Linked DNA regions of Arabidopsis thaliana. The protein of the gene in region 1 interacts with the protein of each later gene in a pairwise test. Each region holds a gene or a part of one and is shown in the gene's direction. Other genes may lie near its edges.

Region 1 (3,759 bases):
ATGTTTCAATTGAAATTAAATACTAATAATTAAAAAAAAAATTAAAAAAATAGGAAAGGAATTGTATAGAGAAACGAGAAAAAGTAATGGCAGTGGTAATTAAGGAATGACAACAACGGGTGAATGAGGCGACGCTTAATCACTCCCATGCACACGTCCCTTTCTTCCCCCCACCTCTGCCGCCCTCTCTCTCTCCTCTCTTCTCTTCCTCCATTGGGAACTGCGAATTCTATTGTCAAAGCTTTAAAACTTTTTTCACTTAAATTTTTTTTCAAGAGCTTCGTCGTTTCTTAACTTACTTGCAAACACATTACATGTGTCATCACGTGCAACCCCAACCCCAAAGCCTAAGCTCGCGAATCTTCTAATGTATGCCTCAATCTTCCCTTGTTCATACTAGTACTACAATATCTTCTTCCTAAGATTTCAAAATTGATCATGAAGTGGTTTGTAGTTTAGTGGTCATCGCTATATTGATCCAATCTCATATTTTTGTCGAAAGTTTTGTATAGTAGCTATAAATTTGATTCTTTAGTTAGAATTTCTTGTTCTATTTATATAGAAACATAAATGCCTATAGCTATTTTCATATATTAACATGTGCTTTTAATTGTATAGACCAAAATTTAATTGATTGCAAAATTAGGTTTGTAATTGTTTGAGATCAGATAGAAAAAGGTCCATCTTTAAGCGATAATATCCTCAAAACTATTTTGTCATCAGTCTTGTCTCCTTGTGACCACAAGGTCATCTTAGAGGTACAACGGTATAGATGCTTAATGTCTACGTTTTCTAGTAAGGGTGAGACCGCATGGTCAACCGAATTTCTAATATAGGCATTATCAAAAAGAAATCTTATATTGGATGTTGACAACAAAGATTTAATAATAACTCGCATCATTTGACTAATTAAAAATTAAAAAAGATCTAAGTGAGATGTATATTTTTATCAAAAAAAAAGAAGTGATATTTGTAAAGAAATTGTCCAATTCTTTTGTCAATTAATATTATGTTCAAAGTAATTTAACATTTGTTTAATATCTGGATCCACTTGTCAAGATTATGCATTTTGTGATAAATAAAAACAAAGAGTGCGGTATAGTGGTGGTACAATTCAATTGTTATGTGGCAATACAATTTATAAGAATATACGGAAAAGGTATAAAAAAAACTGTTTGTGAAAAAAATGAACTGCTTATTCAAATGGTGTTTAGGGTGTAGTTCCGAAACTTATTAAAAAAACTAATGTATGTTTATTTTATCGATCATAAATTTTATTCGGCCACTTGATTTAATGAAAAATTATATAAATAGTTATTGTCTTATTAAACACCGGCATATTTATTTTTATTTGGTTTGTGTTATCTGTTCTACACCATCCAAACTTATTCCATTTATGTTGCTGGTTCACTACCGCTGACTCTGTTATACTATTCAAAACCTAAAATTGTATATAACCCATTGGAGAATTTCTTTAAAGAATATATGTATCGCTGAATTGAAATGTATAATACACCACATTATATATATACACACAGTATTACCGAATTAATTAACGAAATTAATAGTAGACGACCTAGAGGCTACAATTAGAGCATTTGTTGTTTAATTTTTACCCTCTAATATATTAATATCCCCTTTCCCTTCTCACTCCTTTCACCTCTTCTCTCTCTATATATCTTCCTTTGTGGTATATAATACACAGCAACCCAACAATCAAGAAGATCAGATCATGGTGGGGTTTTTTATTTTCTCCTTATCAAGAATCCTCTGATCAGTCAAATACCCATCAATCAATCAAATCCCCAAACACTCCCAAAAAAAGATCAGCTTCCAATATTTTTCCCCTTCTTACAAAAAAGATGTCTATGTCGTCTATGTCCTCCCCTTCCTCAGCTGTTTGTTCACCGGACCACTTCTCTCCTTCCGACCATCTCTGCTATGTCCAATGCAACTTTTGCCAAACCATCCTTGCGGTACAAAATAACCTCTCTTCAATACTTTCTCTCTCATTTTTTCTCCTCCAACTTCTCATCTTCTTGATCTATACAAGATTAGGGGTTTTTTAAATTCATTGTTTCTTTTGTGTGCTTATAGGTTAATGTTCCTTACACAAGCTTGTTCAAGACCGTAACTGTCCGATGTGGTTGCTGTACCAATCTCCTTTCGGTGAACATGAGATCATATGTCCTCCCAGCTTCTAACCAGCTCCAGCTCCAGCTCGGTCCTCACTCTTACTTCAATCCCCAGGATATTCTGGTACTTAAACAAAATTCAAATACATAATCTTATAGGGTCTCATTTAGCTTATTGGAAGTAATCTCAAGCCTCAAGGATATAAATATTATTGTAGGAGGAGCTGAGAGATGCACCGTCTAACATGAATATGATGATGATGAATCAACATCCTACTATGAATGACATACCATCTTTCATGGATCTTCATCAACAACATGAGATTCCTAAAGCACCACCCGTTAACCGCCGTAAGATACTAATTCTTCTCACTTTTATGATATTAACTTCTATGCTAACCGTGTTTATAATTTGGTTGTGATGATGAATCGCCATTAAGACATGCATAGCTTTTCTTATTTAACTTTCACTGGATCTCGTTCAAACCCTAGCACCATTGAATTAAGTCTAGAAGGAGATTTTTTACCTTTCTTTTCTTTGTATACTAGAAGGAGACATGAGAGATTATGATTTTGTATATTTAAAATATTCATTGATCCATGAACTTTAGTATGTGTTGATTGTCTACATATCCTAGATGGCTTTTAGCGTTGGTAAACATTAAAATAGTGACGATAAAAGAAACGGGGAGATAGATTCATGGATCCCCCGGAAATCTAGCTAAAGAGAAAAAATCTATGTAATATGTTAGAAGATGGGCTTGTCTTTAAAAAAACATGATGAAGTGATGATGGGTTAGAGAGAGAAAGTATTTGTGTGAGAGAGAAAAAAGACAATGAAAGTAGTTTTAATGAGTGTTTGTCTCTTTCTGTCTGAGTTTTTGTTTTTTCGCTTTGTCTTTGCCGTTGAATTTCGCCATTGCCAGCTCCAGAGAAAAGACAGAGAGTCCCATCCGCATATAACCGATTCATCAAGTGAGTCTCTTATTTAATTTTTACAATCATTCATATTCTAACCATAACTGTGTAACATTAATATAATTCCTTGTCACGTTTTTATTTTAGGGAGGAGATCCAACGTATCAAAGCTGGTAATCCTGATATAAGCCACAGAGAAGCCTTTAGTGCTGCTGCCAAGAATGTAAGAACCTTATTTCTCACATCCCAAAAATTTATATTAAACTGTTATCCATTGGTTGAATCAAATTTTAATAATCAAAAGAGTCCTTGATAATCCATATTTATCTCTAGTTCAATAAAAAAATTATTTTTTTAAACGCTGAAAATTCTAGTTAGAAGTGATGCGTTTTAAGTATTCTTTGTTTTCCTTTACTAAAGAATTTAAGCCATTGATACTACTAACATCACAACTTGGTTTAGATTGCCGGCAGAAACTAGGGTTTGATTTTATCTATGCGTATAGTTGCTCTTGTATTAGTTGTATATATATTAAACAGTCATATATGTAGGTATAGCTGAAATTAGGAGTAAAGAATTTTGTCGGGTTATAACACAAGTTGATATGTGTCTTGTACGTATGTTGTTTATGTGTAATGCAGTGGGCCCACTTCCCCCACATACACTTCGGGCTCGTGCCAGACAATCAACCCGTGAAGAAAACCAA
Region 2 (3,759 bases), on another chromosome or scaffold:
TCGTATATATAAGACAAAACATAATCGTCGTATTATCTCATTTAAAGACTTTATTTTTTATTCGCTAAAAAAAAGCATTTAAAATCACCTCCAAATTTTATTTTAGCGATTTTGTTCTTGATATTGAATTGTGTATATATATCAACAAAACGAATTGAAGTGTTGTTTTGGACGAGTGTATATATATCTACTTTATTAAAGAAAATTGTTTGTAGAAGACAACATCACCTGCAATGCTTTATAATTCTAGTGTTCTTGTTTTTCTTTTACAGGGATTAATTTCCAAAACTTTTCTTTCGTTCGCCAGTTTAGTTTCTTTTATTTGGAATTTTGTATTTTACTTTGGTTCCTATAGGCTACGCGTAACATTGGCACATACTACTTTTTCATGTATGTAAGTAATTTCTGTAAAAGGCTACATTAAAGTCAATACTCTCCGTTTTGGGTTTCAGTGAAATCTAAAAAATGTCAATTTTACTTTTGAAGTTGCAACTTTCAGATAGCAACAAGAGCGAACGAGACAAATGCCTCAGGTTTCAGTGTACAGCTCCACTAAATGGTTTTCGGGTGCTATTATTTGTTTCATATAAATACATAAATACTACTCCATTTTTTCTAATTTAATGAGTAGTATTAACAAAAAAAAGAGTTATAGATAATGCTAAGTCTAAAGACCGGGGTAAATTCAAGGTAATACAAGTCAACAACTAAAAAAAACTAATTAAGGTAGTGAATTGAGTTCACGCAATTAAATAAACTAGTTAAACGAGTAATTTGGACGAGGGTGAAGTTGCTACATGATCATAGTGGAGTTTAATTTACAAAAGAATAGGATAACAAAACTATATATATATATATATATATAACGTAGTGTCAAATAAATTAATTAGTGTGTTATTTTCAAATATACCCATAAAATCCTTTTATTTTCTAAAGAAAACACAAAATAAATAATCGAATTTAAGTATGATTTTTATCCATTATTTTTGCCAAATAGAGGGTTCTTTACTGCATATATTCCTTAAATAAAGGAAAGAGGTGACTATTATCCTAATTTCTTAAGTAAGAATGCGATTGTGAAAGTTTTGATATATCCAACTTTACAAAAAAAGAAAAAAAAGCATTGCATGTGATGAGAATCCATCTCCCCCATCCTCCCACCCATTCTTTCCAACTCAACCATCTCCTTTCTCTTCCTATTAATAAAGTATCATCTTCTTTTTGTTTCTCTTTTTATTTTTTAATGAAAAATAAAACTTTTAAAAAAATTTGTATTTACTTCAATTTTCTTACAGTTCCACTTGGATAGACAAATGCCCTTTAATGAGATGGTGGTGGACTTTAAGTATATGTTATACGCACAACACACACACACACACACACTTTTATAGACATGTTTTTTAATAAAGAAAATTCTTTCGAACATATTCCAGATCTCTAATTTTTCTTTTGTTTGAGATGTTATATAGAATTGGTCTCAGCTGACACTCAAAAACCAGATCTGACTCTAGGGTTTTGTGTTTGTTTTTTGTTTTTCTTGTAAGAAAAACTATATATTGGAAATTTTCTGATTCGTCTCACTTGTGGGCACAGTATTCATATTTGATTAAAACCTATTTCTTATATAAAAAGGCATGAGATGATGGCACCACATTGTATATTTGTATATATACGGAAACATAAATTGGGTATATGCATGTGTCTTATATTCAAAACAAATATTCTCAAGTCCCTTCCCTTTTTAATTTACACCAGCCCTATAGCTAAAGGCTACACATATATACATTTGTCACCATTAAAAAACATGTACTGTTAAACATCAAATTTCCAAGATTCCGTTTATATTTTTCACCTATCCTTTTTTTTATTTATCTTTGAAAAACAAAACTTACTCACTCTGATCGAATATTTTATGATATGAAATAATAATGACTTGTAATTGTTGTGTAGTGGAAGGGGATGTTTTTTTGTTTCTTGTCCTGATGCTAATGTGGGCTCCAAGCTCCTTGTCCCACTCTCTTTATATGTATAAACATCTCTCTCCATAGATATGTTTTGTGTTTGTAAACAAACAGTGTACAGATAGAGAAGAGAGAGGTTCATAACTACTCTGAAGAAGATTGAAGCACCAAAGACCATACAATGCATTTCTCCATCTAAGGTGAGAGGTCAATGAAACAATTAACAAAAAGTTGAAAGTTTCATTTATTTTTTTCTTTTCCAAGAAAATTATAAAAAGTTGGATAGTAAAAGGGAACAGAAAAGCTATTATCCCTTTATGTGAGAAAAAAAATAAAGATGATTTCAGAAAAACAAAGCCCTTTGTTTCTCTCTCTTAACTCATCTTATACTTTCTTCTTCTATTAGTAAAGATGAGTACTCTCTCTACCAAATAAATAAGGAAACATAAAAAACAATCTCTCCTTCTTTCTCTACATGAAAAACAAAAGATTCCTCAATTTTGTTCTTATTTTTCATTTAGTCACAGTACCTCTCTCACTATAAACCACACTGTCTTGAGATAAAATACAAAAAGAGAAGAGATTAAAAACCTCATCCGATGATAGACTACGAGAGAAGCAATACCACCAAGAACATCAACACCCATCATCACAACCCTCCTCCATCTTCATCTTCCTCTGATCTTCTTCCCGACGGTAATGGAACCGCCGTGACTCAGAAGCGGAAACGGAGACCCGCCGGGACACCGGGTATTTAACAATTTTCTTATCAAGAATTACTAGTTGTTAGATTCTATATCCGGAAAGTTATCAAATAGTTCTGTTAAAGATTTTGATTTATCCGGTGGCAGATCCGGAGGCGGAGGTGGTATCTTTATCACCAAGAACGTTACTAGAATCGGATCGGTACGTATGTGAGATCTGTAACCAAGGGTTTCAAAGGGACCAGAATCTACAGATGCATAGAAGACGACATAAAGTTCCATGGAAGCTTCTTAAAAGAGAGACCAACGAGGAAGTGAGGAAAAGAGTCTACGTCTGTCCGGAGCCGACATGTCTCCACCACAACCCTTGCCACGCGCTCGGAGATCTCGTGGGAATCAAGAAACACTTCCGACGGAAACATAGTAACCACAAGCAATGGATCTGCGAGCGATGCTCAAAAGGCTACGCAGTTCAATCTGATTACAAAGCTCATCTCAAAACCTGTGGCACTCGCGGCCACTCCTGTGACTGCGGCCGAGTTTTTTCCAGGTTCCATTCCTTAGTAACAAACCCTAGCTTTTTAATTTTTATTTTTATTATATATTTAGGATATATATTTATCGGAATCCTTAAAGTAAATCAAAGAATGTTTTTTCTAGTATGGCGTGTCCATGTTTTGATTTTTAGATAACGCACATAGATCTTGAAACAACGTTTACTAATGGAACCTGATGAGGTTTGTTTGGATGTACTGTTGTCTGAAAATACTTTTAATTAATTTAATAATTAGGAACTATGTTTTGATTACTCACGTTGACCCCATAATAGATTTCATTATCAAACTTTGTTAAGTATATACCATACTAAACCTCGAAGTCTTGCATATCTCATACTCAAATATATAATCCAAAAGATACCTAACTCCACTAACTTAATTATTTATATTATCTGTCACGAGATACAAATATTCCTTTGTGCTTTCCATTTTAGTTTAACTTATATAATACACTCTTATTTCTCAGAGTGGAAAGTTTCATAGAGCACCAAGACACTTGCACCGTACGCCGATCCCAACCCTCCAACCACCGTTTAC

What was found. The genes of interacting proteins can lie anywhere in the genome.
Region 2: the proteins of AFO (region 1) and IDD14 interact in binary tests that used the Arabidopsis thaliana proteins (3 or more experiments, as listed by UniProt).

What each region holds. Positions count from the first base shown.
Region 1 is NC_003071.7:18,628,656-18,632,414, reverse strand, and holds the start of AFO (Plant-specific transcription factor YABBY family protein), read left to right. Parts: upstream 1-1,635; 5' UTR 1,636-1,862; coding exon 1,863-1,976; intron 1,977-1,986; exon of another isoform or gene 1,987-2,097; coding exon 2,098-2,259; intron 2,260-2,353; coding exon 2,354-2,486; intron 2,487-3,061; coding exon 3,062-3,110; intron 3,111-3,200; coding exon 3,201-3,276; intron 3,277-3,694; coding exon 3,695-3,759.
Region 2 is NC_003070.9:25,529,924-25,533,682, forward strand, and holds the start of IDD14 (indeterminate(ID)-domain 14), read left to right. Parts: upstream 1-2,084; 5' UTR 2,085-2,560; coding exon 2,561-2,711; exon of another isoform or gene 2,712-2,812; coding exon 2,813-3,215; intron 3,216-3,688; coding exon 3,689-3,759. UniProt on the Arabidopsis thaliana protein: Transcription factor regulating starch metabolism by binding directly to the promoter of QQS. The IDD14beta isoform attenuates the transcription factor activity by competitively forming heterodimers with reduced DNA-binding capacity.